Notamacropus eugenii: one gene and its partners. The protein of the gene in region 1 interacts with the protein of each later gene in a biochemical or structural test. Links are inferred from orthologs where the notes say so. Each region holds a gene or a part of one and is shown on either strand. Other genes may lie near its edges. The genes, in order: NFKB1, BCL3, MAP3K8 and DPF2.

The links.
Region 2: the proteins of NFKB1 (region 1) and BCL3 form a complex in vitro, tested with the Homo sapiens proteins (2 studies listed by BioGRID). The link is inferred for Notamacropus eugenii from reciprocal best matches to the Homo sapiens genes NFKB1 and BCL3.
Region 3: the proteins of NFKB1 (region 1) and MAP3K8 form a complex in vitro, tested with the Homo sapiens proteins (2 studies listed by BioGRID and IntAct, with this or other methods). The link is inferred for Notamacropus eugenii from reciprocal best matches to the Homo sapiens genes NFKB1 and MAP3K8.
Region 4: the proteins of NFKB1 (region 1) and DPF2 form a complex in vitro, tested with the Homo sapiens proteins (2 studies listed by BioGRID). The link is inferred for Notamacropus eugenii from reciprocal best matches to the Homo sapiens genes NFKB1 and DPF2.

The regions. Positions count from the first base shown.
Region 1 is NC_092878.1:140,834,711-140,842,190, forward strand, and holds the start of NFKB1 (nuclear factor NF-kappa-B p105 subunit), read left to right. Parts: upstream 1-4,461; 5' UTR 4,462-4,960; intron 4,961-7,480.
Region 2 is NC_092876.1:27,320,395-27,327,333, forward strand, and holds the start of BCL3 (B-cell lymphoma 3 protein), read left to right. Parts: upstream 1-3,936; 5' UTR 3,937-4,179; coding exon 4,180-4,405; intron 4,406-6,053; coding exon 6,054-6,192; intron 6,193-6,939. UniProt on the Homo sapiens protein: Contributes to the regulation of transcriptional activation of NF-kappa-B target genes. In the cytoplasm, inhibits the nuclear translocation of the NF-kappa-B p50 subunit.
Region 3 is NC_092874.1:70,166,714-70,174,586, forward strand, and holds the start of MAP3K8 (mitogen-activated protein kinase kinase kinase 8), read right to left. Parts: upstream 3,010-7,873; 5' UTR 2,896-3,009; intron 2,801-2,895; exon of another isoform or gene 2,473-2,800; intron 2,226-2,472; exon of another isoform or gene 1,312-2,225; intron 1,279-1,311; exon of another isoform or gene 152-1,278; intron 1-151.
Region 4 is NC_092873.1:18,130,944-18,138,449, forward strand, and holds the start of DPF2 (zinc finger protein ubi-d4), read left to right. Parts: upstream 1-4,489; 5' UTR 4,490-4,562; coding exon 4,563-4,594; intron 4,595-4,753; exon of another isoform or gene 4,754-4,936; intron 4,937-5,441; exon of another isoform or gene 5,442-5,581; intron 5,582-5,988; exon of another isoform or gene 5,989-6,090; coding exon of another isoform or gene 6,091-6,101; intron 6,102-7,395; coding exon 7,396-7,506. UniProt on the Homo sapiens protein: Plays an active role in transcriptional regulation by binding modified histones H3 and H4. Is a negative regulator of myeloid differentiation of hematopoietic progenitor cells. Might also have a role in the development and maturation of lymphoid cells.

The DNA of each region.
Region 1 (7,480 bases):
AAACAGAGGTAATGAAATACGCTGGGGTCTTTCTACTTCATTGAGATTTCCTCCAAGGCTAGTTGGTCAGCCAACAAACATTTAGTTAATGCCTACTATGTGTCAGGCAGAAGTACTAAGAACTAAAGATTTTTAAAAGGCAAGAAAGCAAGAAACAACATCTTGCTTCTTTCAAGGAGTTCACTGTATAATAGGAGAGGCAACATGAAGATATAAACAGGATAAATACATGAAGATATATACAGGATAAATTAGAGATACTCAAATAGGTGATAGGCACTAGAATTAAGGGGAATCTAGAAAGGCTTCTTGGAGAAAGTGTTTTTATAGCTGAGACTTGAAGGAAGCCAGGAGGCAAGAGGGGACGAGGGACAGAGTCCCGGACAGAAGATAACCAGTGAAATACATAGAGTTGAGAGATGGAGTGCCTTGCTCATGGAAGAGCAAGGTGGTCAGTGTCACTGGATCAAAGATTATGTGAGTGAGAATCAGCTTGTAAGAAGACTAGAGAGGCAAGAGGTGGTGAAGGGATCTGAATGCCAAACAGGGCTTCTTCTATTTGACAGGGGGTCACTGTTATTTATTGAAAGGGGTGGGATGTGGTCAGACCTACTCTTTAGGATAGTTTGACAGCTAAGTGGAGGATGGACTGTACTGATGAGAGACCAACCAGCAGGCTCTTACAGGTCTGGGTGTGGGCTGAAAAAAGCCTACACCAGAGTGATCAGAAGAGAGAAAGGGGACATATATGAGAGATGGGAAAATTGAAAGGACTCGAGAACCGATTTGATATAGCGGGGGGGAGGGGATGAGAGAGAGCGAAGAGTGAGGGATTATACCCCTAGGCTGTGAGCCTGAGGGACTGGGAGGAGTAGTTGGGAAAAGGTAAAGAGTTCAGTTTGGGTCATGTTGATATTAAAAACAGACTCCTCTACCTCTTCCCAATCTTAAAGTTCTAACCAAGTCTGTTCCTGTTCTGAAGGATGCAACATGCTCTAAACACCTTAGTACAGAAAAAGTGGCTACTATACTTTGAATCCAAGGACTAAATCCACCTTCTGTCATCTATAAGCCCCACCTACTTCCCCAGGTTCTTTTTCATGACTCATCTTTTGGTGCCCTTCCCACCTCTCCCCTCCCTAACCCCAGAAGGGTGACATTTCATGAGTAAGCTTATGATAGAAAAAAGACTTCATGAATATATTAATAACAACATGCTTTCTATCAACCCATAAGAGAAGGTTATTTTCTCCCATGGGGATTTACACAAATATTAAGCAATTTCCTTAGAAGTAGAACTTTTCCTGAGAATAAAATGAGTAGAGTTCTTCAATGCAACAAGTTTAAAAGCCCCACACTGGGCAATGAAGGAGATACAGTTTAGATAAGACACAGTCCTTGTTCTCATGAAATCCACAGTTTTGGTAGGGAGGCATGACTAGTACACAGATAGGTATAATACAAAACAATAAGTAACAAGGGCATCAAATTTGTGTAAAACAAAGTGATTGGTAAAGTCCTGGAAATGAGGAATAGTCCTTACTGACTTGGTGGAATCAAAGAAAACTTTGTAGAGGAAATAACATTTGAGTCATAAACTTTATAGAACTCAAAAGTGGGACAACACATTTATAAAATTTAAATGTTTGGTCCTTGTGCGGTTACATTCATCCCTCAAACACAAATAAACTAAACTTATCTTTTCCCTCAGCTGCCATAAAACCTCCTCTTACCTTCAACTCCCTTCCCTCACTTTTCCATGAAATGTTCTGTTTTGGGAAGCTTCATCTTCCAGCCCCCTCCTTCAGCTGTAACAATCAGAAGCAGTCCTGGGTGTATTTGAGATTCAGGAGTCACAGAGAGCTAATCACTTTGTTAGAGTGGGAATCAGAAAATGAGAGTCAGAATTAAATCCCAAGAAGTCCTTAATTTCCAGGCCTCTTTGCCAAGATCTTTCCACAAGAGGGAACTGCTACCAGTCCAGTCATTTAGATCTTGGTCATCATTGCCTTATGATGACTAGATTGGTTAAAAAGACATGGTACCAAATGAACTCTTCTTTCTGTGTTGGTGGAGTGGAGCAAGGGTGAAGGTAGCATTAAGAGGGAAGCGGGAAGACTTCTTGTATGAATTCTAGAAGCCTGGTTAGGAAAAAAAAAATCTATGATCTCTGTTTCTTGCTAGGATAGCTTTTCTAGGGATGATGACAATTATAGTTCTTTTGTTTTATTTTGAATTACAGATAAAAATAATTTTTAATATTCATTTTAAAAAATTGAGTTAAAAATTCTTTCTCTCCCTCCTTTCCCTCCTCCTTTAGAAAGCAAGCAATTTACTATAGATTATACATGTGCAGTCATGCAAAATATATTTCCATATTAGCTATGTTCCAAAGAAGGCAAGGAAAAAACCTAAGTCTTAAAAAATTTTAAAACTCAAGTTTTTTAAAAAAGTGTGCTTTGATCTGTATTCGAACTCCAGTAGCTCTTTCTCTGGAGGTGGATAGCATTTTTTGTCCTAAGTCCTTCAGAATTGTCTTGGATCATTGCATTGCTGAGGATAGCTAAGTCATTCAGAGTTGATCATCATACAATACTGTTGTTACCATGTATGATTTTCTCCTAGTTCTGTTCACTTCACTTTGCATCAGTTCATATACCTCTTTCAGATTTTTCTGAAATAATCCTGCTCTTCATTTCTCATAGTATAATAGTATTTTATCACAATCATACCACAACTTGTTCAGCCATTCCCCAACTGATGGGCATCACTTCAGTTTCCACTTCTCGGCCACCACATAAGAGCTGCTATAAATAATTTTGTCCATAAAGGTCCTTTTCCTTTTTCTTTGATCTCTTCAGGATACAGACCCAGTAGGGGTATTGCTTGATCAAAGGATAGACATAGTTTTATAACTTTTTGGTCTGTTGTCCAGAATGGCTGGATCAGTTCACAACTCCACCAAGAGTTAGGCTATTATTCGTCAATGAATCTGTGATCTCCCCATCCACTATCCACATCTCACCTGGACTGACTTTTTCCCAGGCTTTGCCAAAGGCCCCCCTGCAGAAGGACCACCCGAAGTATTTCAGGCCTCCTCTAGCTAAGTCCCAACATTTGGTAGTACACATGAAGCATACTGCCTCTCTAAAATATGAGTTCATGCAAAGGATATTGAAGAAATGCATGGCAGGTATATTTAGGTTATATAGCATAATGCGTCTGATCATTTGCAAAAGAGGCCACCGAAGAATCTCAAAGATCACTTGCTCCGGATAGGAAGACCTGGGTTCGAATCCCCTTTTATTACTTATGCTATTTGTGTGACACTAGGCAAATGGCACCTTCCGGGGACTAAATGGCAAATCACATTTATACATAAAACTTAAGCCTCATATTACATCATAATTTCATTGGATCTTCACAGCACCAGGTATTGTATAAAGGTATTGTACTCTGCTGCTTCTGCAGCCCCTTTCAGGTATCAAGAGTCCTACACATCCTCAGAAAAAGGAGGTCTGGGCTGGTCATCTAACACGCTGTGACTATTGAGAAGGCATAATGGTAGAGTGGTGATAGAACTGGGTTTGGAACCCAAAATGCTTACCACTTACGAGACTTTGGGCAAGAAACTATCTCTCTGAGCCTCAGTTTGCTTATCTGTATAGTAGGAGAAACACTATTCACATCACCTCCTGGGGCTTCAGGCTTGAATGAGGCAATGTTTGTGTAGGAAAGCAGCGTGTCAAAGCCCTAGGTTGAGGTTTTTAATACATGCTTTTAATAAACATCCCAATAGGGGAATCATTACAGACAGAATTTAAGGTGAAGAATCTTTTTTGAGGGAGAGGTCACAAACAGAAGATTCAAATCCTCTATTTGTTATAAAGTGAATTATTATTAAAAATAATAGTTTTATATTTAATTTTATATTTCTATGTCATTTTATGTTTATATAGGGCTTTACAGTTAATAAAACGCTTTACACATATATTATTTGATCCTAACAAGCACCGTTGCAGGTAGGCGCTATTGTTACAGATGTAGAAACTGAGGCAGACTTGGGGACGATTTGAAATCGAGTCAGGCTTGCTCAGCCACCGCGCACAACCACAGTAATAACGTAAGCGTGGGGGACCCTTCCTCGATCCCCGGGGTCTCCCAGCAGGTGCTCAGCGGACCCCGCCCAGGTACCGCAGCCTGAGCCGCGGGATCCCAGCCCCGCAGCTGGCCCGGGGCCTCCAAGCGCCGGCTCCAGCAGACGAGGCCAAGGGATCGGAACAAGGCGCGCGCCGCCGAGTCCAAGTCCCTCCTCCCGTCCCTGACGTTGCGCTCCGGGCAAGGGGTGTAGGAGCGGAGGCCGGAGAGGGGCGCCGAGGCGACCCCGGTCCCCAGTCTCCAGCCCTGCCCCCCAGGAGATCGGGCTTCCCCCGCCCCCGGACTGGGAGTGTGTGTGCAAGTGTGTGAGTGTGTGTACGCGTCTGGCCTTGCTCGCTCTCTCCGGCTCAACGTCAGTGGGAATTTCCAGCCAGGAAGTGAGAGAGTGAACGAGAGAAAGAGAGAGAAGTGCGCCCGGCAGCTGCGAGCAGGAAGGGGAGGTTTCGCCACCCGAGGGCCAGGGGACGCGCTGACAGCTTCCCCCTTTCCCCTTCCCGTCGCTCGGTCCCGCCCGCCCGCCGTCCAGTCGGCCGCCCGAGCTGCTCCGGGGACAGCGCACGAGTGAGCGAGCCGGGACGGGCCAGGGCGCTCGGGTTGCGGCACCCCTAGCCTCCCCGGCCCGGGCTGCGGGCCATGCGCTGTGCTGCCCGCTGCTAGGCTCCGCGGGGCTGACCCACGCGCGCAGCCCGCCGCCTCCTCTGCCTCCTCTGCCTCCTCCGGCCAGCCCCCCACTGCTGCTCACCGGATCCGAGCGGGGAGCCAGGACGAGCTGGGAGGCCCTGGACAGCAGCTCCCCCAAAGGGTAAGACCAAAGTTGGGGCCGAGGGAGCGGGGAGGCTCTTCCTGGAGGGAAGGGGCAGACAAGTAAGTGCGAGTCCCCCCACACTGGCCGATCCCCACCCCGCCATCCCCCCGAGTCTAGACTTCCTCATTCCTGCCCGACCCGCTGGAGGAGGTTGACACCAGTTGCGAGGTGCAAGGGATTGGTGAAAGAGGAGGAAAAAGGCAGTCAGGGACTGGGGGTGGTGCAAATCGGCTCAGGGGAGCCCGGGGCCATGTGGTTTGGTCAATTGTATTTTTTCCCCCAACCCATTTCACCTCCTCCAACCTTTCGAAAAGATGAAAATATCTGGGCGTCTTGGACTGCTGAGGAGACTTAATTTTTCTTTTGGGGAGGTTTAGTCTGGAGGGAAGGGAATGACTAAGGGCGTACGTTTGTGTGTATGGGGGGGGAGGGTATTTTGAGTGAAGTGCTGAATCTGATTTCTATCCAAGGACGTTTTACGAAATGAAGGCTACCGATTTTCTTTATTTGAAAACCCTCTAGTTTCCAAGTCTTAACTATCTGCCATCCTCTAACTGAAAATGGGCCCATTCTTGATCGGGATCTCTGGTTATCTTTTCAGAAATATTAAGTCCATAGGGGCATTCCAAGACCCCCCGAAAGGCATTCTGAAAAAAAGGAGGGAGTGGGGGTTCTTAGTAAACTCTCTAAATCAAGTGCTGAGTCCGATGGTTAGTTCGTCATCCAAAAAAATCATGGTGGTGCTGGCATATATGCAGGGTGTCCCCAAAATCGGAGTGCAGTTATAACTTTTAATAACCATAATTTAAGCTAACGCTGCATAACGATAGTTTAAGTTATTAAAGGTTTAAGACTCGTCTCTCAAGTATGATCTTTTTATAGTGAAATTAATTTGCACTCTGAGTGTTCTGTTTCACATTTGAAATAGCCTGGATATCAAATCTAGTTGTTCGTTTGTTTTTAGAGTATCTTGAAGGTTCAATAGAAACTACCAGTTTAGGGCTTAAGTTCAATTAATGGATTTATATCAAATTAGCTGATTCCAAATCTTGGTCTATTTCCTATGGTAAGTCTAGGAATATAACATGAAGGTGGCAGTTGAATCATTTACTATATTAGAATAAGCCAGTGATCTTCTCAGAAGCCTGCTCTTCCCCACTGTTTGGGAAGCAAGGTACTCCCAGTTGGTGTAACATTGTTACTTTTGGTAGTTACTGAACTTCCTGAGTAAGACACTGTTGTTTGCCTGTTTGTCCTTTAGAATGAAAACTTGATCAGAATGCAAGGACTCAGCTGAAGTATGTTGTTAAGACTTAATTTTACAATTCTTCACATCCTGTTATTTGAAGTTAGTTATTTTTAAAGTACCTACCGCATATGTCAGCCTCTTAAGACAGAAAGATAGTCATTCCCTTCAAGGAGCTCACAATATAATGGAGAAAATAATACTTAAATAGAAGCTGAAAATTGGAGGGTATGGTGAGGCAGGGCGTTCTGAAGCATGGTGGTGCCCTGGGCAGTGGGGGAGGATCTGGGAGGAGGTCTTCTATGTCCGTCCTCTACCTTCAGCAGTTAGAACCCCTCCTGGACTTGGGGTTATTTCAGAAGACTTGAGCTTCAGAGTTGATTCCATCTTTCCTGAAAATGAGTTCCTGGAAATGATGATGAAGTCCAGGAGAACAGCTTGGTGGTAAATGATGAGGTAGCTGCCCAATTCCAGACCAGTTGAATTGTTTAAACTGTCTTCTCTATAATGTCTACTCTATATGTACTCTGATATAGAGTTGAATAATTAACTTGAGCCTAGTGTGTTTGGAAAGAAAGAATTTTGGAAGAGAAATTGATTATATGTTATGTTTGTTTTTCATGAGTACATACAACTGAATTGCTGAAATGCAAAGAACGTATGTACTGGGAAGAGACTTTTCTTGAAATGCTCAGTCAAATAGATTTTATTTATAATTATCTACTCAATATTGATAGACCTTCAACTCAAATTTATTTGGCAAAATGTCCACCTGAACTATGGAGAGCTTCAGTCAGAAAGACAGTTTCATATGAAAGAAGGTCTACCTTCAACAAGTATACAAATGCAATGAATGAATGAAAAAGCATTTATTTAAATCGTGACTAAAATAATGTGAGTTCTGAGTTCTTAGCAAAAATCTTTGGTAACGTCTTTTAAAAATGTTTTTTATCCTCAGAATCATTTTTGGAGACAGAAATCACAGATGTTATAGCTGGAAGGGACCTTAGAAATCATATCGTCTAACCCTCTCATTTTACAGATGAGAAAAGTGAGGTCCACGTAGGTTGTGATTTGTCTAAGCTCATGGCAAATGAAAGGCAGAGCTAGAACTGAGGTTTTACTCTTCTCTGATTGTTTTCTCTACTTCTGTATTGTTAAGGTTACTTCCAAAACTTTCATCTTTTGTTTTTTTAAATATCTGTTTTGTTTTTTAAATCACTTTTTACATGTGAATTACTCTGCCCAAGTATTTACCACAAGCCAAAGCA
Region 2 (6,939 bases), on another chromosome or scaffold:
TGTCACTCCCCCAAGCAGCGTGGGGATTTTTATCCAATCCCAAAACTAATTTCCTTTGCTTCCTAGGGGTCTTCAGGGGCTCCCTGGTCCTAGTGATATGGCAACACTGCCCTCCAGGAGATCTCTGCATACGCAAAGCACACAGGGTACCCCTCACTTCTCAGTTTCCACCCCACATTCCTACCCTACTCGGAAATTTAGACAGGATGACCTCCGTGGCTTCCTGGACCTGCTGAGGGGATAAGGGAGGGGCCTTTCCCAGGGCCTTAGGACTTCCCTTTCTCTGGGCTGGAGGCCCCTGGGATCAGGGGAGCAGAGCCATACCTTCTGCCCTACCCTGACTTCTGGGGGTCACTCTGTGCCCCCCAAAGCTTCCCACCCCTCGGAGCTCTCCCAGGCTCTCTCAATACTCCTCTGGCTTCTTCACATCCTTTCCCACCTGGGTTGCCTAAGGCTTGGGTCTAGCTAGGTCTACCTCAGTGTCTCCTCAGAGAAAGCCTTAAAAATGCTTCCAGAAAAGAGGAATTTCATCTTGATCACCCTGGAAGAGATAGGGGTAGCCTTCCAGGGTCTATGTTGCAATAACCCCTCGGGCCTATGGCTCCAAGAAGATTAAATGTTGGCAGCAGGCCCTGGGGTGGGGCAGGGTGGGTTCAGTGCCAGGATAAGGCAGGGAAGGCCTAGGGGGAAGGAAGGCGGGGTGGGAAGGGAATAGCTCCTCCTCCAGGAAGTTGGCCCCGATTCATCCTCTGACTTAGGCCCAAGTTTCTGCAGAATTCAGGGCCTAGGACTGAGTCAAATTGTTGCTTGGGCAATTTGAAGGAGAGGCCCTGAATGTGGGGCCTGCCTAGGGTAGCCACCAGAGGCAGGAAGCCCAGGCCTCCCCTCAGAGGGCTTCCAAAGCAGGGAGACTGGCCATCTAGTGAATCCCCGAGGACTTCTTAGACATGTATTGAGGTAGATTTGGAAGGAGAGGAACATGATTTGGGGAGACAGACACTTCCTAACCTTCAATGATTTATACACACGGGACTTGCAGCCCAGAGTAGGGAAAGTAGTTTGACTCGAACTAGTCAAAGGATGAAGTTCAAAAGCAGGCTGTCTGAGGGAAAGGAACCCGGCCCTCTGGGCAATGGGAGCCTGGAACAGGGGAAACCCCTGATTCCCCTTGCATAGATCCAGTGAATGTCACGTTTCCCAGAGAGTGGCACAAAAGGGACAGGTGAGAGTTAATTAAAACCCCTTTCCAGGGTCTATTTTGAGGAGGGGACAAGTTTATCATACGTGGTCTCTTCCATTCCCATTCCCGACACTAGAAAGAGGGGCGGGAGGAGACTCCCCAAGCCGGGACTTTCCTGATCTCCTGGAGATTCTGGGAAATCAGGCCCAACAAGAGGGGGGGAGATGGGGAGGAAGGGAGAAGAGCTGGGTCACCTCTGACTTCCCCCTCCCCAAACAAGAGCTGCTCCCAGACTCTCCCAGACCTTGAGATTCTCCTCAGACTCAGCCTTTCCCTAGATTGTATTCTAGCCCTCTTCTAGCTACCCCCACACACACCTCAAACCCTCAGATTTTCCTTGGGCCTCAGACTGCATTCCTGGGCTAAACAGAGGGAGTACAGCCCCATCCTACCCCACCAGCCCCACAGCAACCCAGAGCAACAGAAACAAAGCAATTGAGAGGGAGACACTGGAAGGGACAGACAGACACTGCCCTACCCAGTTCAGCTCCTTGAACTCTGACCTGAGCCCAGAACTGTCCCTACCACTAGCCACCACATCCCTTGTTAATAATTGGCAGTGAGGTGGAAGAGGTGGGGGGAGGAGAGGAAAAGGTCGGGTCCAAGTCCAAGAGAAGGTCTGATTACAGCTCGAGGTGGGAGGAGGGTGGGGCACACTCACTTCCATTAATTTGGTCTCAGAGAAAGGAGATGGGACCTGGGATTACACAGGGAGGCAAAGAAACAGACCCTGAAGGCAACATATTTAGTAATAAATAAGACTTAATTGCAACAGAATGGAAACACAGAGGGAAATCTTCAAACCTGAGGAAGGGGGCCATATAAAATCAGAAAGACAGACAGAGGCCTCATTTATGAGACTTTGGGCTGAAAGGCACCTGAAGCTGTTCCAACCCCCTTCATTTTACATGGAAGAAATCAGATTTAGCCATGGGAAATGACCTGCACAAAGGCACTCTCCTAGTAAGAGGACTGTTTGAATGCTGATTTTCTGACTAAATTCAGTGCTCCTCTACAACTCCATGCTAGCACTGGATTGAGAGACAGAGACAGTTAAGAGATGAAGGGATGGGAGCCAATGACCTTTTAGACTCCTTCCCAACCTAAGGATTCTGTCATTCTTGGAGGCTCAGAGAAAGATGGGGAGAAAGAAACTCTGGGCATATTTTTCTGGGGCACGGGAGTGGGGAGTGTGTAGCTCTGGGAAAAGGGGGTGGGGGGGATAGTGAAGGAATTGGGTCCCTTCCTCCTTCCCTTCTGTGACTCAGTGACCCGGACTCAACCTCAAGCGGGGAGGGAAAGAGCAGAAGAAAGGGTTGGGAGGAGCCTCGCCCCTGGGGAAAAACGGGAAAGCCCCGGTTTCTCCCAGCCCCCCCTCTCCGCCCCATTGCTGGAGGGAGTGGAGGGAGACGGGAGAAGGGAGAGCAAAAAAAAAGGGAGCTAGCGAAAAGTAGGGAAACCCACAGAGACAGAGCTTGGAGACAAGGTCAGGGAGACAGACAGACAGACCGGATAGAGACACAGGTATACTAGAGGCTGAGAACAGAAACGTCTCGCCTTTTTCCTCTCCGCCCCCCCCCCCCCCCCCCCCCAGTCGCTTTCTCCCTCATCCTCGTCCCTGTGAGAGAGAAAGGAGAAAGAGATCTAGGATAAAAAAAAGAGAAGGGGGACCCGGTTCGGGTATGCAGAGAGGAGGGGCATTGAGTGGGGGGAGAGGGAAAGCAGGGGGAGGGCGGCTCCAGGGTTCCTTCCCCTTCCCTCCCAGGGACTCGGTGACTCATCCTCCCCCCAACCAGCTGGGCCTGTTCCCCACCCCCACCCTTGGGCCGCTTCCCTCTGACCTCGGTTGTCCCGCTCCTCCCCCACCTTTGGTCTCTATCTAGGTCTTTGCAGATTTGTGTGTGACTGTCTTTGACTTTCTCTCGCTGACTGCCTGGATCTCGGCCTTTCAGTCATTCCACAGGTGTCTGCCCCGCCTTCCGCTCCCCCTCTACTCCCGCCACCTGCCCCCACCCCTCCCTCCTGGAACATGGGTGGAGGAGAGAAAAAGGAAGAGATCGGGCAGAGGCTTAGAGAAATGGGCAGAAAGCAAGGGGAGTGGGAGGGGGCCGCGGGCGGGGCAGGGGAACAAAGAGGACTGGACAGTGTTCGGCGCGGGGGGCGGGGTACAGCCAGCCATCCAGGACCGGGGACCCAGAAGGACAAACCGAGATTAGACCCAGAGACGGCCGAGCGGGCAGGGTCGAGACGTGGAGACTAGGCAGAGACAGTGTCTGAGATCAGAAAGGACAGACAGATAGGGAGAGACTCAGAGACAGACTTAGAGACGTCAGGAAGGAGAGAGCGAGAGAAAGTGTGTGTGTGTGTGTGTGTGTGTGTGTGTGTGTGAGAGAGAGAGAGAGTGTGTGTGTGTGTGTGTGTGTGTGTGTGTGTGTGTGTGTGTGTGAGAGAGAGAGAGAGAGAGAGAGAGAGAGAGTGTGTGTGTGTGTGTGTGTGTGTGTGTGTGTGTGTGTGTGTGTGTGTGTGTGTGTGTGAAAATACGGAGGAGAAAAACAACACGCCGGGAGCGAGAGAAGGGGCGGAGAAGCCCGGAGAGACTTGAGCCCGGAGCCTCCAGGAAAGCCCGAGAGGGAGGGGGCCCGGCCAGCCCGGGGAGGGGGAGGGCGGCGGGGGAGGGCGGAGGCGGGGGAGGGCGGGCGCCGCCCCGGCTCACAAAAGTCCCTTCAGCTCAGCTGGCTGGAGGGGAAGTCCCTGGTGTGCTGCTCGCTGCGCTGATATCTGAGCGGAGCCCAGCCGGGCTGCAGCCTGTGCCCGGCGGCAGCCACCGGGCCTCCCTCCCAGACGGGGCTCCGTCCGCCCCGTCGGCTCTGCACAACTCCCCGCCCTGCCTCTGCCCCGGCGGGCCCCAGGGAGACCCGAGGCAGCCAGGGGCCCCGGCCATGCCCCGATGCCCCCGGGACATGGACGACGGGCCGGTGGACCTGCGGACGCGGCCCAAAGTCGGAGCCCCCGACTCGGAGGCCACACTGCCCCTGAGAAAGCGGCGCTACCGGGAGCCCCAGGAGTCCCCCGGGCCCGGCATCGCTCCAGCCCCGGAGCCCGCGCCGCAGAGCCCCAGCACGTACCCTGGCCTCCCGGGCCCTGCCACAGCCATCTACTATCCTGGTGAGTGAGGGGGACAGAGATGAACTCCCACCCCTGGTAGCCCGGGCACCTCAGCTCCTACCCGAACTGGGGACTCTCCTCCAGGCCTCGACCCTTGGCTCTACTCGTGCTTTTCTGGGCACCCTCCGCCTGTCCTGAGACAGGCGTCCATTGCCCAAAGCAATTTTTTTCCGACCTGGGCTGGGTACCCTTGCCTGACATTGATACCTGGACATCTTCCACACATTCCAGCTAGATCCACCCTACCCTAACCTAAGCACCCTTGTCCCAACCCAGCCTGGTCCTGGGGTGCAGGTGCTCAACCCAGCCTGGGCACCTGCAGCCTGGACAACTGCCCTTCCTCACCCTGTCCTTGATCTGGGCACCCTGGCCTGGTCCCTACCTGGGCCTCCTCCCTCTAGGTCTAAAACCTGTCTGTCCTCTCCCTGACCCCCTTACCTCTTCTGATCCCACATCCATCCTAACCTGTCCTCAGCCAGTGCATCCTCCCTGACCCCCTCTCTCCATTCCAAAGTCAGCACATCCTCCATCCTGACCCTGCTCCCCAGGTCTTCCCATTCTCAACCTAATCTTCTGCCCAAACCTGGAATCCCTTTCTTCCTTTCCCAACCCCTGCTGTCCTCACTTCCCGACCCAATCATCCCATGCTTCCTGGATCTTTATCCAGTTCTCACCTTGCCCCCCCACAAGGCAACCCACCCTTAACCTGTCCCCCCAAGGCTCTGTCCCCCACCCCAAGAGCAAGGACATTGCACAAACTGGTTGATTCTAGTCACAGTGTGACGTGACCCTGAGTCACCCAGAAAAACCACAGAGAGCCCTGCCTGGGCATCTACCCCCCTCAACCTGCACACACATACACAAACCCTTAGTCCATCCCCAGGCTCCTAGAAGCTCAATGGAGAGAACCTTGAGATAGATGTCAATGTAGTTTTAACGCTACCATGAACTTGTTCTAAGACCTTGGGAAAGTCCTCCTCTTCTCTGGCCTATTTTGTCGTGTGTAAAGCGATGCACTTGGACTGTCTCTAAGGCATCTTCAGACTGGTGTTCTGAAAGCTCCAAAGCCTCATAGATGAGGGTAAATTGTAGAAATGTGGAGCTGAAAGAGACTTTCGTCCCAGCTCTTTCATATTACAGTCCAAGAAACTGTGGCCTGAACTGCCCAAGGTCATCCAGGCAGCCTAGTGGAAGAGTCAGGGTTTGAAATGATGTTCTCAGACACACATATGTTCTCTTACCGTTTTCCCACAGTACCTGTAACTGGCTATTAGGTCTGACTTTCTATGGTCTAAGCTCCTATCCCACTCAAAGAGTCTGAATTTCTTTGACATTCTCCCTCCACACTCAAATGTTTGCCTTCCCTCCCTTTCCTTATTTCCCTCTCAGTAATAATTGTAAAGCACTTAGCACAATGCCTGGCACCTAGTAAGGCTATATAAATTTTAGTTACGTAGTAGTCCTAGTATTAATACTACTACTAGCTACAGTGGTACTAGTACTAGTTGTCGTGGTAGTATAGAAGTAGTACTAATTGTAGTGGTGCTCCTACTAGTAGTAGGAGTAGTGCTAGCAGTAGTACGACTACTGCTTCTAAAAGTAGAGGGGGAAGAGGGAATCTCAGAGCCTCACACCCTCTCCCCCACAGGCCCCTTCCTATATCCTGCACCAGCCCCATTTTCAGTACTGAGCCTGCCACCACCCACCTACCCAGTGCTCTGCCCCCTGGAGAACCCACTCACCGCTGACATTGCCAAGGCCACAAGACCAGATGAGGATGGAGACACGTGAGTGACCTTTGGACCTCTACCTCCTCTAAGGACTGCCATACACCCCTCTGCCTCTCCCCCTTCCACGGACCCTCTTCCCCCCCATGACCCCCTCCCATTCCCCTGTGCTCCACTCCAGTCTCCTTCTCCCCTTAAGAGCTCCCTTTGCCCCAAGTCTCCATCTCCCTCCAACAGCCATATGCCCCTTGATTCCCCTCCCCCTTCTGTGTCCCTTTTCCCCTCTGTTTCACTCTCATCCTCGCCGCACAACCACCCCCCCCCCCCAGCCCCAACACAAACACTTCTGCAGTGGCTGCCTCCCGGGGAAGCCCCAGACCGCAGGACACACCACAGCCCCAGCTGCTCCCCAGGCCTGCGTCAGTCTCCCCCTATACACACACTTGGCCTTAACCCCTTCCGCCCTCAGCTCCCACTGCGAGGGAGGCAGGCATCACAGGGCTTACTGGAATGGATCAGCTCACCCTTGACCTTAGTCCTAACCCCAGGGACCTCTCCTGCTCCATAGATCCTGGGGTGGGATGCTGGGGCTGGGTCCCCACATCACTGAACCCTCAAAGCATCAGGAGTAGAGAGGATTTAATGCCAGGGTCTGAAAGGAGATGAGAGCCCTAGAGCTAGGATCCTGGGTCCCAGAGGTAAATGAGGCTGGGGGTAAGGAGGAGGAGCTCACTGTCCAGGCCTAGGAAGGGAATGAGCCCCATCCTAAGGGATACCTCGGTCCCTAGAAGGAACCTGAGGGGGCTG
Region 3 (7,873 bases), on another chromosome or scaffold:
TCTCCATTAGAGGAGGGAGTTCCCTAAATGGATGAAGTCACAGATGCAGTTTAAAAAAAAAGACCTCCCAAAAATCTTAATTTCAGATTGCAGGTCTCCGAAAAGCTAAACAATTTTGCAGTCAAACATTAAATCTTTTGATCGGGCTCACCTCTTAAGTTATTCCAGTGTAAACTCTTGAGACAATCTGCAGGAATTTAAAAAGCATGCCTTTCACATTGGCATCAGCTGAGCAAACTGTGAATTCTGTGGAATTTTCCCCTGCTTCCTCTCTGGAGTCATGTGAACTCATGGACTTTTTTTTTTAAGAAACATATTTGATTAGTAAGTCAATAAGCCCTCCCCAGCCAACAGCATGCTAAGTAGAGTTACTTTTGTGACAACTTCTGTTTTTCAAGCCTGGATTGTATAAGAAGAAACTGCAACTAACTGTTCAATGAAACCAAAGTAGTATCCATGTTCTGTTGGTCACATCCCTCTCACTGACATACAAACAGTATGGCCCTGAGGACCAACTTACAGTCTTAATACTTCTACAGAAGCAGGTGAAGTTTCCTGAGATGCTTTTTTAGTTGAATACATAATATACAGATGCCTTCTGAGCTAGTATCAAAACACATGATAGTGCAGGTACCATTAAAATTCTATATTAAAAACAAGCAAAGTGAGATCCATTCTTGGACAGAATGAGAGCATGCAGCTATAGAAAGAATGAAATAATCGCAAAGTTGTTCTAGCATAGCAATCGATGCTTTGTAGCCTATGTAAGCCAAATGCAATGCCTCCCCTCTACAGAGCACAAGCAACTTAAGAGACAGAAAAAAAAAATCCCTACAAAACTTTACACCCAGAAGAAGGGAGTACAGTCATTTGCCTCAAGTCCTCAGGTGAACCCTTTAGTAGAGGTAACCAATACAACGTTTTAGGTTAATTTCAGTTAAACTGACATTAAAATTGGAGTCAGAAGTCCTGGCTTCCAGTCCCTACCCTGCAACTGGTCAGCTGTCACCTAAGGTTAATATCCTTACTTACAACACACTTCTCTAGTGCCTAAACGATTACTTTCCTCCTAGCAGCCCTTTAAGGTAGGGAAGTAAGTAGTGTAAGTATTATCAACTGTGTGACATTTGAGAAACCAGAAGCTCACAAAGTCTCACATGCATGTACTCTCTTAAGAATACTGGTGGAAGTCCCAGACCAGCACTTTCACACTTCACACCTTATTAGCCTTTGTGTATTCTTAGCAGTAAAACAAAAAAACAAAAACAAAAAAAAAAACAAACCAAAAGAAAATAATATTAATCTATTTACCTCAAAGTCCTGGAGAAGCAAAAGAGATCAACTATTTGGCTTTGAAAACTGCAGCCCCCTAAAAACGTAAGGTACATCTGCAAGAATCTTGTGAGATGTAGGTTGCAAGATGATTACTTCCTTGCAATCAATGGTAAGAACCCCTCAGTAGTTTGTATTAAACGGAGTTTCCGGGAGGAAAGGAGAAAAAAAAATTTAAAAAAAAACTTTACTTAGTGGTCAATTACTCCAGGTGCAAAAATTTCTGGCTTTAATATGCAAATGAAAGGTGTACCCTTTCTCCCAGGTCCCAAAAGCACTTCTAATCCCTTAATAGAGACTATTCAGAATAAAGCCTAAGGTTGATGTATTTTAATTAGGCTGAAGTACTGCATTAGTTAATCACAGAAAGCCAAAAGATCTATACTGGAGAGAAAAACTGGTTTGAAGGTCATCAGACAGTAAGCTCAACGGAAAACCTTCGGATGAGACAATCTATTTGGCCTATATAGATTACTCAAAGTAATGGTATGTAAAGCTGATGTATTTTTAGTTTCAAGGAACAGCCCCTTATTTTGGTTCAAACCACCCACCCTCCAAGATGAAAATTAGCAAGTGTTTACATCATTTCACACAGGCTCGATTGGCCTCTACCCTCTCCCTTCCTCACTCCCTTTTGAAAAATCCCAACTAACAGCTTAAAGCTTAACCTTCAACACTTTCAGGTAGAACCTGTCAGTTTGAGCCCTCGAGGACCGGACGCTGGGTCTCTGGGTGTCAGGAGAAGGAGAGCAGCCCTCAGACAGCAAGTACCTTCCATGAAGTTTTTCCCCTCTCCGGTTGATACAGCCTTCCTAGCCTCAAAGCCCAATCTTGACACTATGACGCAAATGCCCTTTAGAAAAGACTCGGAGCAATTGAGTCCGACTCCCCAAACCCCCAAACGCCCTCTCTCCCCAGCCCACCTGCCGTCCCCACCCGCAGCCTTGCTTCCATAGGTTTTTTTCCTTGATTAAAATGATCAGTCCCTCGAGGACCTGCAGTTTCGGGATAATTCTTAGGATTAAGTCCACAAGATGCGTCGGGTTGATGTGTTAGCAAGTTAAGGCTACTGATATTTTAAAGGCGCGCAGAGAGCAGTAGCGGCCAAACCCCCCAGACTCTGGTCTGGGTCGCACTCACCTGGAACCGAGCTCCCCGGCGGCCGTGGGAGGGAGGCGGGGCATCAATCCCACCTCTCCCGGGCACAGCCCAGACCTGCACTACCAACCTGGAGCAAGTCTTGCGGACAGCAGGGATCCGGGAGAGAGAGGGAAGGGGGCGGGGTCGAAAGACTGCCACCAGTTAAGAGTTTCGCAAGGTGCTTTCCAGCGGGATCGCAGCATCCCGACCGGGTCCGAGAGGAAGGAAACTCGGCGGCAGCAGCTGGTTGGCAGATCCAGCTAGCCCCGACCCGAGGAGTTCCCCGTCTCTTCCCGGCAGCCAGGCGGAGAAACACAGCGACAGAGGAGAGAGGCGCTGCCCAAATAAAAAAGAAGTCCCCTCCCCCTGCACCCGAGTCCCCCAGCGCCCCCGGCAAGCGGCCGCTTGGCGCTTCTCTCCTACCTGGAGTCCCCGTGCAGCCCGGCGGGCGGGCGGCTGGACCTCTCCAGGGGGAGCGGGACCCCGGCCAGGGCCGAGCACTCGCCGAGCGACTGTCTGGCCGGAAAGCTTCGACGTGAGCGGCGAGGGGGTGGAGCAAGAGGCCAGAGCCGCGGAGAGCGCCGGGGTGCGGGCCCTGGGTCTCCGCCCCGGCCAACGCGAAGCGGCCGCTGCTTAGCCCCGAGACGCTGCCAGCTCCTTGACTCCCTGCGTCTGAGCCCGGCGACGGGTGGCGCTGCGGAGAAGACCAGGCGACGCCGCCCCCTCCTCTTTGGTGTTTTCCATTTCCCTTTTCTCTGTGTAATCAGAAAGAGGTGGCCCCGGTCGCAGGGGAAGCCTGCGTCCCGGAGTGGGAAATTCCCCCTCCCCTCTAGGTGTCTAGGCACTAAATGCACCCGAAAAGATTGGGGGCGGGGCCAGGGGCGGGACTTAGGGCACCGGGAAACCAGAGAGGAGACAAGCGAGACGATCAGAGGGGCACCATGGACTCTACTGGGGAATTCCCAACTTTTTCTGGAAGGGAGCTGCGAGACCGGAAGCAGCTCCCCACAGCTCCCAGCTGTAGGGACCCACGGACTGCCACCTCCCCTCAAAAAAGAAAAAACCCACTCCTGTGAAGAGTGAGGACACCCTGCCCGGGTGGGTAGGAGGAGCTGCGGGCTTTGATCTTATCTCCCAGTGCGAGCTGGAGAAGAGAACAGAGTGCGGAGGGTGTGGATTCTTCCCCCCCGCCCCACCAAAGAGTCTGGAGGAAGCTCTGTTATTCCAAGATCTTCCTTCCCCACCCTTAACCTCCCCACCGAAGGCTCCTCTCTGCACCGCCTCTGGATTGGACCAAAACATGTTCCCATTCCACTTCATTAGCTCAACCACTGCATCTTCAATGGCACAAAAGGAGATAGACATAGCTAGCTAGATCGATGGATAGATCTTACCAAGCCAGCTTCAAGAAGCTTACGTTTCAGATCTAGAAAGGGAGCAAAGGTTGAGGCCCAACTCCCCCATTTTGCGCGTGAGGAAACTGAGGTCCCCGACGCACGTTAAGCGCACGTTAAGTGGCTTGCTCAAGATCTCTCATAAGTATTCTAGGTGTCCGTGAGGTATTTGAGCCTAGGTCCTCTGACTGCAGTCATAGGTCTTCCTCCGGTACCCCATTGCCTCCGACTACTGGATTTGGAGACAGAGGACCGAGGTTCAACTCTCAGCTCTGCTGCCGTTTGTAATAGACCCTGGACAAGTTACTTAACGTCTTTGGGCCCTTGGAGGAGTGATGTTAGTAACTGCCTGCCTAACAGTGCTGGGAAGACAGCTGAGCTCCACCCTCAGCTGAGTTCCTCACTGCTGGGAACGGCCTGCTCCCTCCCTTACCCCTGAAGCTTTCACCACTATTCCCCCTCCTCCCTCCTCCTTTTCCGCTGGCAGCCGCTCCATTCCTGGGTCGGGCCGGCGGCTGAGCCACTCACTCTTGGCCCCGGACCTCTTTTTCTGAGCCAATTGCCAGTAACCTGCGCTTTCCACACCCCGTCTTCCCACTTAAGGAATGCAGCGATTTGTATTAATGGTCATTTTCTCAGCAACTCCTGAGTATGCGGCGGCAGATGAACGCAAGAGTCAGCCGGAAGCTGAAAAGCTTAACTAGACTCTGCAGCGTCTGCACGGATAATTGGAATCGAAATGCTTTGGGGGGACTTTAATTAGGACCGAAATTCTTAACACCTGTGATTTGAGGATTGCGTGTGATACTTGGTGGAAGGATTGAAAGCACTTGACAATATTTTGCTTTTGAAATAGAAAACGCTATGTTCTAAGAATTGAGGGATTTCGGGCGGGGCACTGGAAAGTTTAGCAGAGACCGCATTTACACGAGCTGTTCATTCTTTCTGGCCTCTCTCGGTGAAAGAACTTTGGGGCACTCCGCCCGGATTCCCTCCCCAAGCATCCGACGGGCAACTGCAGCCTGGACTCTCGGGGTGTTCTACCATAAGTACTGATTGATCTGGTCCTTCCTCCCCCAACTTGTAAACACAGAATAGGATCCCTTATCTTAGCAACTCCTGTGAGGTTTAACTTGTGGCTGGCTGGGTAAAAAGAACTGCGAATAAAACTTGAAAATGACTGGAGCTCAAAATAGAAAAAAAAATGTATCCCACTCCCTTTTTTGCAGAGGCTTCCCGGGCTTTCTTCAACGCTTGGCTCAGCTTCCACCTTCGGCAGGAGGCCTTTTCTGGTCTCCCGACTCCTCTGACTCGACTTCCTATTTATTCTGTAGATATCTCTATGTTCATAATTGTTTACTTGATGTGTCCCCCATTTGAATGTGAGTTCTTTAAGGGCGGAGACCATGTCCTTGCCTGCTTGTAGCCTTAGCGCTTAGCACCGTGCCTGGCACTTAGTAAGTGTTAAATAAATACTTGTGGGCTGACTGGCTGAGGGACTGACCCGAGGACTAACGGTGTGGAGTATTTTATATACCTCTAGATTGTATTGATGTCTTGGTTTTGATTTTCATTTTTCCCTTTTTTGTTCTTTATTACCTGGGATGGTGGTAACTCTTTAATTGGGTGCAAAGAGGACAGTGAGGGGGGGTGAAAATGAAGATGTAAAAACAAAAGATAGCAATACATTTCTCAAAAGATAGAAACTCAGTTAAGTCTTTTTCACTGGTGTAAGACTGAGGTTAAAAAGGGGGGGGGGGGGGCTTTCACAATCTTTTTCTGTATGTCCTTGGACAAATATTATGATTTCTCTCTGCTCTACAGTAAAGTAGGTTATGAGGTTATGACTGGGATCATGTTATCATAATAACTCCAAGGGACATTAATAAACACTTTGCAAATACTGAAAGTTGCTTAATCAGCAGATTGCTGTTAGGTGCGTGCTATATTTAGCAGATTGGGGCTTGCAGAGTTGATACTTCCTAACTTCCACCCCCAATAGAACAGTTATTGAAATTATTACCTAAGAGTTAGAATCATAGTCAAAAATTCTAGGCAAGCAACATGGAAGACCAGCTTTTAAAGAAGAATTTAGTTGGGTGAGGGAACATGTGGGGGAGTGGAAGGACCATAGGACAATGAAGGCCCTAGGGTAGAGGGAGTAGGAAAGGTAGGCAGAAGTCACCTAGGTTGTGGGGTAAGGTTCCTTATTCTAGTTGACCAGGTGCAAAGTCCAATTATTTCTATCTGTATAAGGAACAGAGATTTTTCAGTGCCCTAGGGAAAACTTCAGTAGCTATGGCCCTATCCTTGTGAAAGGCTGTGCTGGGAAATCATACTACAAAGTGAATGCTGTATGGTAGGTATCCAGAAAAGAGTGGAGCTGACCTTGGAGTCAGAGCCCTAGGCTCTGTTCCCGACTCAGATACCAGCTGTGTGACTGTGGACATTATCACAATGTCTCTGAAACTCAGTTTCCTTATCCAAACATTAGGACAACATTTCTTCCACCTTCCTCACGAGGTGGTGAACTAAACTTTGGAAACCTTAATGCCAGAGCCCTGTGAAGTCAGTAATTTACGTATTATTACCTCCATTTTGCAAAGTAAAAAAGCTTATTGAAGGGTCAGAGAATTAAGTGGTTTACACAGTGGCAAAGTCAGAATTCAAACTACATCCACGATTTCAAAATCAGCTAAATCCAAACTCTCCCATCTCACAGATGAGGGAACTAAGGCACAGAATAGTAAATGATTTGCTCAAGATTGCTTGGCAGTATGTGGCAGTAATTGGATTTCAATTTAGATCCTGTGACTTCAAATTCATGACCTTCTCCGCAGCCACCCCTGTCCCCCCAACCCCTGCCAGGGTTCTTTGCATTCTACCATTCTGCCTCCAAAGTAATAACTGGTGTCCTGGCAAGGGTGACCTGGGCCTGGAGGTTGGACGTCGAGGTTAAGAAGTTGAACCAGGAGGCCTGAATTCAACACCTCTGGTCTATTGTGGAGAAAGGCAACTCAAACTCATAAATGCAGAATGGATTTGACCAGAACCACACTGGTGACTGAGGCTAGGGAGTTGATTTACTCTCTCCATAGATTCTGGCTCCATGGTACCTGAAGGTGAAACCATAGGTTGCAGCAAGTTCATTTCAGTTCAATAACTATTCATCGATCATCTGCTATGCACAGCACATTATGTTAGGAGGGGAGGGGCAGAAGGAACAGGGGCTCCTCTGCCTTAGGTAATTTATAAAATAGTTGGAGGGGGGTATGTCACACACAAATAGCTATAAAGTCAAATGGTACTTGATAAGTGTTTCAGGGAGGTGCTCCATCAGATCCAGGGTTTCCTCCATTTCTTCAAGACTGTTGTTGTGTTCATCCTTTGTTGTCAAAGACCATGCCATCAGAGAAATGATGACATGACTTGCACATGACTTTGTTTTGAGTGAGGGAGGGCTGTGCAGGTCACCAGCCTTACTTCTCCAGAGTCATCTGAATCCAGTGATCATCATATTCATCAGGATGACTAGAGATGACCCAGGATGCACTGGGAGACCTTGACCCCTTTAGGCCAAGGTCTTTGCTAGCATTCACCTAGGGTGAGGTAATGCCCATTCATTGAGTAGGACTGTTTAAGAAGTAGCTAGGGTATGGCCCCTTTAATGAGGCAAAGAAAAAGACATCAAGCTGGGAAGGAAACAGCAACAGTTACTATTGATAATCACACTTAAGCCAGGAGGGTCCAGAAGAGCCCTTAGGCAGGGGGTCAGTGTTGTCCGAGCTTCAGAGTGCAGTAAGTTTAAGGTTTTGGGAAAGGCAAGGCAAGGCAAAAAATCTAGCCAGTAAAACCCGAGTCAACTGGGCATCTTCTGACCATCCAAAATTACCTTCCTTCGGAGAAGAGAAGAAAGGGGAGGAGAAGACAGACAGGAGGGGAGGAGCTGAATTACCCAGCTAGCTGGGTCCCTGTTCAGGCAGCTGCATCTACTCAAAGGTTGTTGT
Region 4 (7,506 bases), on another chromosome or scaffold:
GTTAACAAATATGCAATGACCAAAAATTAATTAAAAATTTAAAATTGTGATGAATCTGCACTTTACACTGTGCATGATCTCCAGCCACACAATGCCAACCAACACAGTCCAAACCAAAAAGAGGTTGCAGGTGGGAAAAGTTTCAGAAGCTCGGGACCTACATGTCCCTAGAAGTCACTTCCAACTCCAAAACTGTCATTCTTGCACCTGAAACAAGCAGAATCTGGCTGCCAAGATTAGATTTAGAGCTTAAAGGGGCCCTAGAAGTCATCAAGTCAGATTTGTATTCAGGTTCTGCCATTTAGAAATTCTATAGTAACTACTATCTTCCAGGCATTATCACTTTAAAATTATTTCAACTGATCACAACAACCCTGCCAAGTAGGTGCTGTTATCTCCATTTTACAGATGAGGAAACTGAGGCAAACAGCAGTTAAGTGACTTGGCTAGTGTCTAAGGCCAGATTTGAACCTAGGTCTCCTTGACTGCAGCCCTAGCACTCTATCCATTCTATCCAACCTTACCTCCCTGGGACTCAGTTTTCTCATTTGCTAAAGGCTAATAATGATACTTCCAACCTCATTGCACCACTCTTCCATAATGTATGGAGCTAAAAAGGGGCTTTGAAATTATCTGATATAAACTCTTCATTTTACAGATGAGGAAACTGAGATCCAGGGAGCACAGCGGCTTGCCCAGGTCATACAGCCAGTGGGTAGCAGAGCTGGCCTTCTAAGCCAGGTCTTCCCAGTTCTTTCTACTCCACCCAAGGACACAGGGGTGATGTCTATACACATCTTAGCTTTGCCCAATCCTGCCAGCTGTAAGCACTCTCTCCTTCTGGACATTTTATACACACACACACACACACACACACACACACACACACACATACACATACCCATATATACATACATACATCCTCTGGACATTTTGTATAGGTATACATACATATATGTACGCATACATACATATGTACATATATCTTTAATTCAATTAACTCAATTTGTTCCTTTCTAATTTTCAAGGAGTTTGTTGCCTGGGCAGATTTGATGCCTCTTCTGCCAAGCTATTCATTTCCTTTTCAATTCTTTCTTCCATAGCTCTCATTTCATTTGCAAAAATGTTTTTAACTCATTAAAGAAAAAAACAAAAAAAACCTGCTTCATCTTTTCCAGGAATTCTAGTTGAATGTGTACCCAGGTTGTTTCTCTTGAGGCTTTGCTTGGAGATGTTTTGGAGTTATTCTCTTCTGCCTTGGTGATAGCATCCCTGTCACTAAAATAGCTTTTTATGGTGGGATCCTTTTTTGGGGGGCAGCAGGTTCATTTTTCCAGCCTATTTCCTGACTTCAGGCTTGTATTAGGGCCAGACTCTATGTGCTTTTGGAGGGAACATCTGGACTGGTCCTGTTGCTGTCTTCTTAGGGTACTGAATGTTATGTTATTCCAGGATCTCAGGGACAATTCAAGCTGGAGACCCATAAGCTTTCAGTGCTCCCAAAGTGGTCTAATCCAAAGCAAAATCTAATCGTTGTCCTCCTCAGCCCAGCCCAAGTCTGAGCTCTATAAGTTCCTGACCACGGTTTGGGTCTGAGCATCAGTAGATGCTGCTGGAACCAGCCCCTACCAGTCAGCTGGAACACTCTGTGCGTTCAGAGTGATAGAATTATAGGCTCCTCTTTAGACTGAGTTTCCTGCCCTGGTTACTCTTCCATAGGCTGGGCAAGAAGCTGGAACTGAGATCCTGCTCTTCTTCTGAGATCTGAGCCATACTACTGCTGCTGCTGATGGCATCTAAGCTTGCCTCTATGTACATCAACTCAGGCCCTCCTCAGCTGCTCCTTACCCCAGAATGCCATCCCTGAGAACAGGTCTCCTCCTCCATCCACCTTGATCTTAGACCTGGAACTGATTAGTGTTGGCACCTGTTCCTCTCCTGCCACTCAGGGGTGGGTCTGACCTCCTTTCACCCTGGTCCACAACACTGGAGGGCTTCTGGCCAGATCCCTTTCTGTCTATTTTCCTAGACCAAATTGGGCTGGCAAAACAACTCAATATGATTTTTTTTCATGGATTTCTCCATCCAGATTAGATCTGGCACATTTTCCAGATCTGCTTAGGGAAGGTGGGGGATTGGGACCCTGGAATACTGGCTGTGAGGCCTCCTGCTACTTGGTTCCTCGGTTCCTCCATCCTAATAAGGAAAGCGGCAGCCCAGAGAGTGTCATTTGGATCTGGGAAGTTTCAGGATGGTACAAACAATGGAGGAGTTCATCCTTTTGAGGAATAGCAGAGTATGGATTGATTATTTTTCCCAGCACAGTCAATTAATAAACTTTATTAAGCACATACCAAACGATGCCAGGTACTGTGCTAAGTGCTGAGGATGCTACAGCCCCTGCTATTAAGGGGTGTACTGTCTCATGGGGGAGATGATGTGCAGACAACTATGAACCAACAAAGAAGACAATGGCATTAAAGGCGCATCTAGAAGCCTTCAGGTAGAAGGTGGGATTTTAGTGGAACAAGAGGTAAAAGTCATAGCTTAGGGAAGGGATGATACCTATGGCAGAAACCTGACCAGAGACTACTGGGGTGTGTCTAGGGGTCCCTCCCTACCCTGATCTACCTAGTCAGAATCCAAAGTAGAGAAGCAAAGTCAGAGGCAGAGGGTGGGGATGAACAAGTTAGCCCTCAGCAGCATTGCAGAAAGATGGTCAGAGGGCATCAAATCCAATCACCCTGAGCTTGAAAGTGGGTTAGAGTCAGCAAAAATTTATACTTCTAGATCTAGGCCTGAAAGGAAACTTAGGAGTCATCTGGCTTCAAATACTCATTTTATAGCTGAGGAAACTGAGGCCCAGAGAAGTCACCATTAAGAGATTTACCAAGGTTCACTTGTGTGGTAAATTATTTCTAGGATTTCATCTCTGGTCCTGTGACCGCAAGGTCAATGAGTGCTCTCTCCACTGAGCATCAATAAAATTTTTTAACTTTGGGAATTTTTTCGATATTAAAAAATTATAAATCAGAGGTTTAGGGCAGTTAGGTGGTGCAGTGGATAGAGCACCAGCCCTGGAGTCAGGAGGATCTGAGTTCAAATCCTGCTTAAGACGCTTGACACTTCCTAGTTGTGTAACCCTGGACAAGTCATTTAACCCCCATTGCCTTGAAAATAAATAAATAAATAAAAGAGGGTTTGAACTGATTAACAACAATGTTGTTGTCCTTTGTTCTTGAAGAGGACCATGACATCAGGGAGGTGATGCTATGACATGCAGGTGAATTGGATCGAAGTGATTTTGACGAGACTATGAGTGTAGAATATTGCAGCTCCTGCCAGACACAAGCTGGTGCATGGATAGCTTGGCTAAACCGTTTTCTTTTCTTTCCTTCTAATTCTCTGTTAACAGAGCCGGCAAGGCAGGTGAATTCTTACACCTCAGAAACCGGCAATCCCTACAAATCAGCGCTTGATTTGTCGTTGGTTTCTTAATTGACTACATTTTAAAAGTGTTAATAATCAGATTTAACTTAAAAGTGTTTGTGCAAATCTTCCCCCCTCCTCCCCCCCGGAAGCCTGTTTGTTCCACTACCATTATCTTCATGGTCATGTTTGGAAATGAAATCCGTGTGAAAATGGAAGAAAACAGGCATGGATACAAAGTTGCAAAGGAGATACAATGTAACTTTTAAAATAAGGGCAACTTTGTATGTTTGTATACGAGCCTGTTCCCGCGAATTCCTGGGCGGAAAAATGGGAGGCAGGGCGGTCCTCAGGGGGCAGACCGGTTTTTGCCCTTCTGGATATGCCCAGGTTAGCAGGTGCCCGGTAAACAGTAGGCGTTTAATAAATGCTGGCTGCCCACGGCAAAGGAAAAAGTTTAGGTTTGAGTTACTGTTTTCAGTTGCAGCTACTTTCCCCTCCTCGCTCCCACCCTGGGGGTCCCTTCCACAATTGAGGAGCCCCCAGAGGACGCTGGAGGTGAAGGGGAAAAGGGCCCCCCCGGCCCGAGGCAAGGGACTCACTGCAGTCCCAAGGCTTTTGTCGCTTTCCTGGAGTCACAGGCTCAAACCGCGCGTGCGCACTGGCTTGGTTCTGTTCCCTCCTACCCGGTACTGGCTCGGCTCCTGCTAATGGGAAAATTACCGCGCTTGCGCGATGGAGCTGGGGCGGCGGGGGCGGGGGGGGTTGGGGAAGTGGGAAAGATGGCCGACCTTTTTGGCGCCTGCGCGTTGGAGCAGGGAACTACGAGCCGGCTTCTACGTGGAGGCGGAGGAGACGGAGAGAGCTTCTGTTTGGAGCTTTGGGGAAGGCGGGGTGGAGCGCGTCAGGCCTTCGGAATCGGCGCCTGCGCGCTGCGCCGCGGTGCGGGCGCGCTCTCCGGCCCCGGCGCTTGCGCGCTGGCAGCCTTGTCCTCCTCTCTGCACGCCTGCGCGCTGGGGTCGCCGCGGGGGCGGGAGCGGGGAGCGTGCGGACGCGCGGGCACGCGCTTCGGGCTGGGCGCCTGCGCACTCCGACCCCGGGGGCTCCCGGGCTGAGGGAGAGGAGGAGGGAAGATGGCGGCCGTGGTGGAGAATGTAGTGAAGCTGTGAGTGGCGACCGCCGTCTCTTCAGAGCCGGGGCGGGCGGGGGGGGCGGGCCCGGGGCCGCGGAGGGGGGCGTGGCGGCGGCGTGCGCGGAGACGCCGCCGGGGCGGGCGCGGGGCGGCCGGGCCCGGACGAGGCCGTTGGGCGCCGGGCCGGGGCGCGTGGCAGCTGCGGGCGCGAGCACTTCCAGCGGGGGCGCGCGCGGGGCCCCGCTCCAGCCAGGCGCGCCCCCGAGGGGGAAACTGAGGCCCGAGCTCCGGCGCCTGGAAAGGGACCTTAAAGGGGGGGTCGTCTCGCCTGACCGAGGAAGTAAACTGAGGCACGCGGGCAGTGCCAGGGCCAAGGTCACGGAGAGAGTCAGCGGGAGGGATCCTAGAGACAACCACGGTCCCACGTCCCATTTGACAGATGGGGAAACTGAGGCACAGAGCGGGGCCTGGACGGGCGCCCCCGCCCTCCACAGTCCCTGCCCGGTGCTGAGGCTCGTCCTCGGGGGATTGGGGAGGACCCCCGGGGGGCGGCCTGGGCTGCCCTACGGGGTCCTCAGGAGGTGGGCCTGGCACGAACACCCCCGGCCAGACGCAGAGCCACAGGATGCGCTTTGGGAAGGAAGGAAAGGGGCACCTGTTCACCCAATAGGGGAGTTTTAAATACAAAGGGGGTCCCCCCTGCTTGGGGTTCTGGAATGAATGCTGAAACCGGGTGCCAGGGAAGGCTGCAGCTCTTGGGCCTGACCCACCTGAAGAAAGGAAGGAGGGCCGGCCGTATGGCAGGATCCTCCTGTTCCCAGGGGGCAGGCCAGGGGCTCTTCCTTGAATCCTGAGGAGCTTGCTTCATGCCGTTGGCCAGGGGTAGAGGCATCTCAGAAGTGCGGGCAGCCGTGAAAGGTGGCGTGGCCTTGGCATCTTACCTGGGAGCTTAGCATGAAGTGGGCCTTGAATTCACTCCACCTCGCCCAGGAGTGGGTCAGCAGAACTCCTGTTCTCTAGGTGCCAGCTAGATTTCCAGCTGTTCCTTTTTAAGCGGGTGCAGGGAGTTGGAAGAGAGGGTTTTTCCAGGGTTCTCAGGCCTCTGTCCTTGCTTTATGGTAGGCTGCAAGCTGCTCCCTGGACGGGAGCCTTTTTGATGAGGGAGAGCATGCCCACTGCCATTCAGCTGGGTGCCCTCCCTCTCCTGGGTTAGTTGGAGGGGGCGGCAGGCTTCCTTTCTGCTCAGCCACCCACCCATCCCACTCCATCATCATCCTCTCTGATGTGCCCACTCCTTTTCCCCAGTCTCTCCTCAGGCTGGCATTTCCCTCAGTTCAGAGAGGATCATGCTAATCTCCCACTCTGTCCTTCCTGACACAAAGGTTCTCTCCCCCCTTTTCCATCCTTTTCCTTGGGTTTGTACCCAGCACCCCACAGGGCCCAGAGGCAGTTTCACCGATTTTATACTGACGTAGAGGGAAATCCAGTTGTTCTGAGAAAAGCTGACTCTTCTAGATCCCAAGGGGAGCATGGAAAGAAGGCAAGAGGGAAAGAAAAGCTAAAAAAGGGAAGTTTCTTGGGGTAGGCCTGTTTTGGATGGGTGGCAGCAGGCACCTTCAGGTGGGGTTCAGGGGGTTGGCAGGGTATCTCCTGAGACAGGCCTTGGTTTCTCCATCTCACCTCTGAGGTAGTCTTGGGGGGTGGGGTTGGGGTTCCTGATACCCTGGCACCCTGGCAATGGGGAGCCATCCACCTCCTCCTTAGTACCTGCTTAGCCCCCTGCTGGGGGCTGCTGATGACAGTCAAAGTCTATTGACCAGGCTTCTCTTCCAAGGAAGGGAACTCCACCTTCTTTTTCCTGTTCCTGATCCCCACCCAGAGAAGCAGCTGTTGTCCCCTTGCCATGCTATCACCAGGCTGGTTTGTTTTGGTTTTTGTTTGGGGGGGAGTACTTAGTTATCTGACAGTTTAGTCTTAATTTGACAAACAGGACACTTCTGGGCTTTATTTGTGATGGGCTCCTGAGCTGGGACTCTCTCTCCCTGGCATAAGAAATGAAAAGGAGATCTCTTCGTAAGGGTAGCACCCATTGTCCCCAAACACCCATCTCTCTCTTAGCTGCTTAACAGGATCTGACCCTTCTCTGTCCAGGGATCCCTTGCTGAGTTCTCCCTCCCCTGTCCCCCAACTCATTAGGAGCCATGTTCTCTGCCCTTTCCCAAATACATAGTGTTCTTTAAAAAGCTGTGTGGCCCACCTCCTGGTGTATGCCTGAGGTACCCACACAACCTGAAGGCTCCAGGATCTCCCTGCTCACCTTCCATTTCTTTCTGAACGTCACTCTCAATTCCCATCAGTGGAAACAAAGGAACTGCGCTCTTTAGCCTTGTTTATCCAATTTTATTCTCTGATGGTGAGAATGTGGAGGCCGATTTCTGAAAGCCAGCTAATATGGACCCATTGCCTCCTCCTCACATAAGAGGCCTACCTCAAATTACAGTAATTACAGCTCATTGAATTAAGCTGGGCTGGTGGCATTTCTGCTGCTGCCTTTCTGTTTGTTTTGGTTTGGGGGTGGGGATTTTTCCCAGTTGCTCAAAGCACCAAATTATTGAGAGCTCATCAGATCATGGTGTGGGGTTTGAGGTGGTTTATGTTCTGGGCCTTCCCAGCCAGGACACCCAGAGGCCCCTGGGGCCCAGCTTGATTCCTCTTGGTGACATTTGACTTGGCTCAGCTGGTGTCCTCTAAGGTAGAAGAGGGAACAGACAGGTCAAAAGGGTCCCAGACAGCTTTCTGAGCCTTCCCTTGAAGCCCCTCCTGTCCCCCTACAGCCTGGGGGAGCAGTACTACCGAGATGCCATGGAACAGTGCCACAATTACAACGCCCGCCTCTGCGCCGAACGCAGCGTGCGCCTGCCCTTCCTCGACTCCCAGACTGGAGT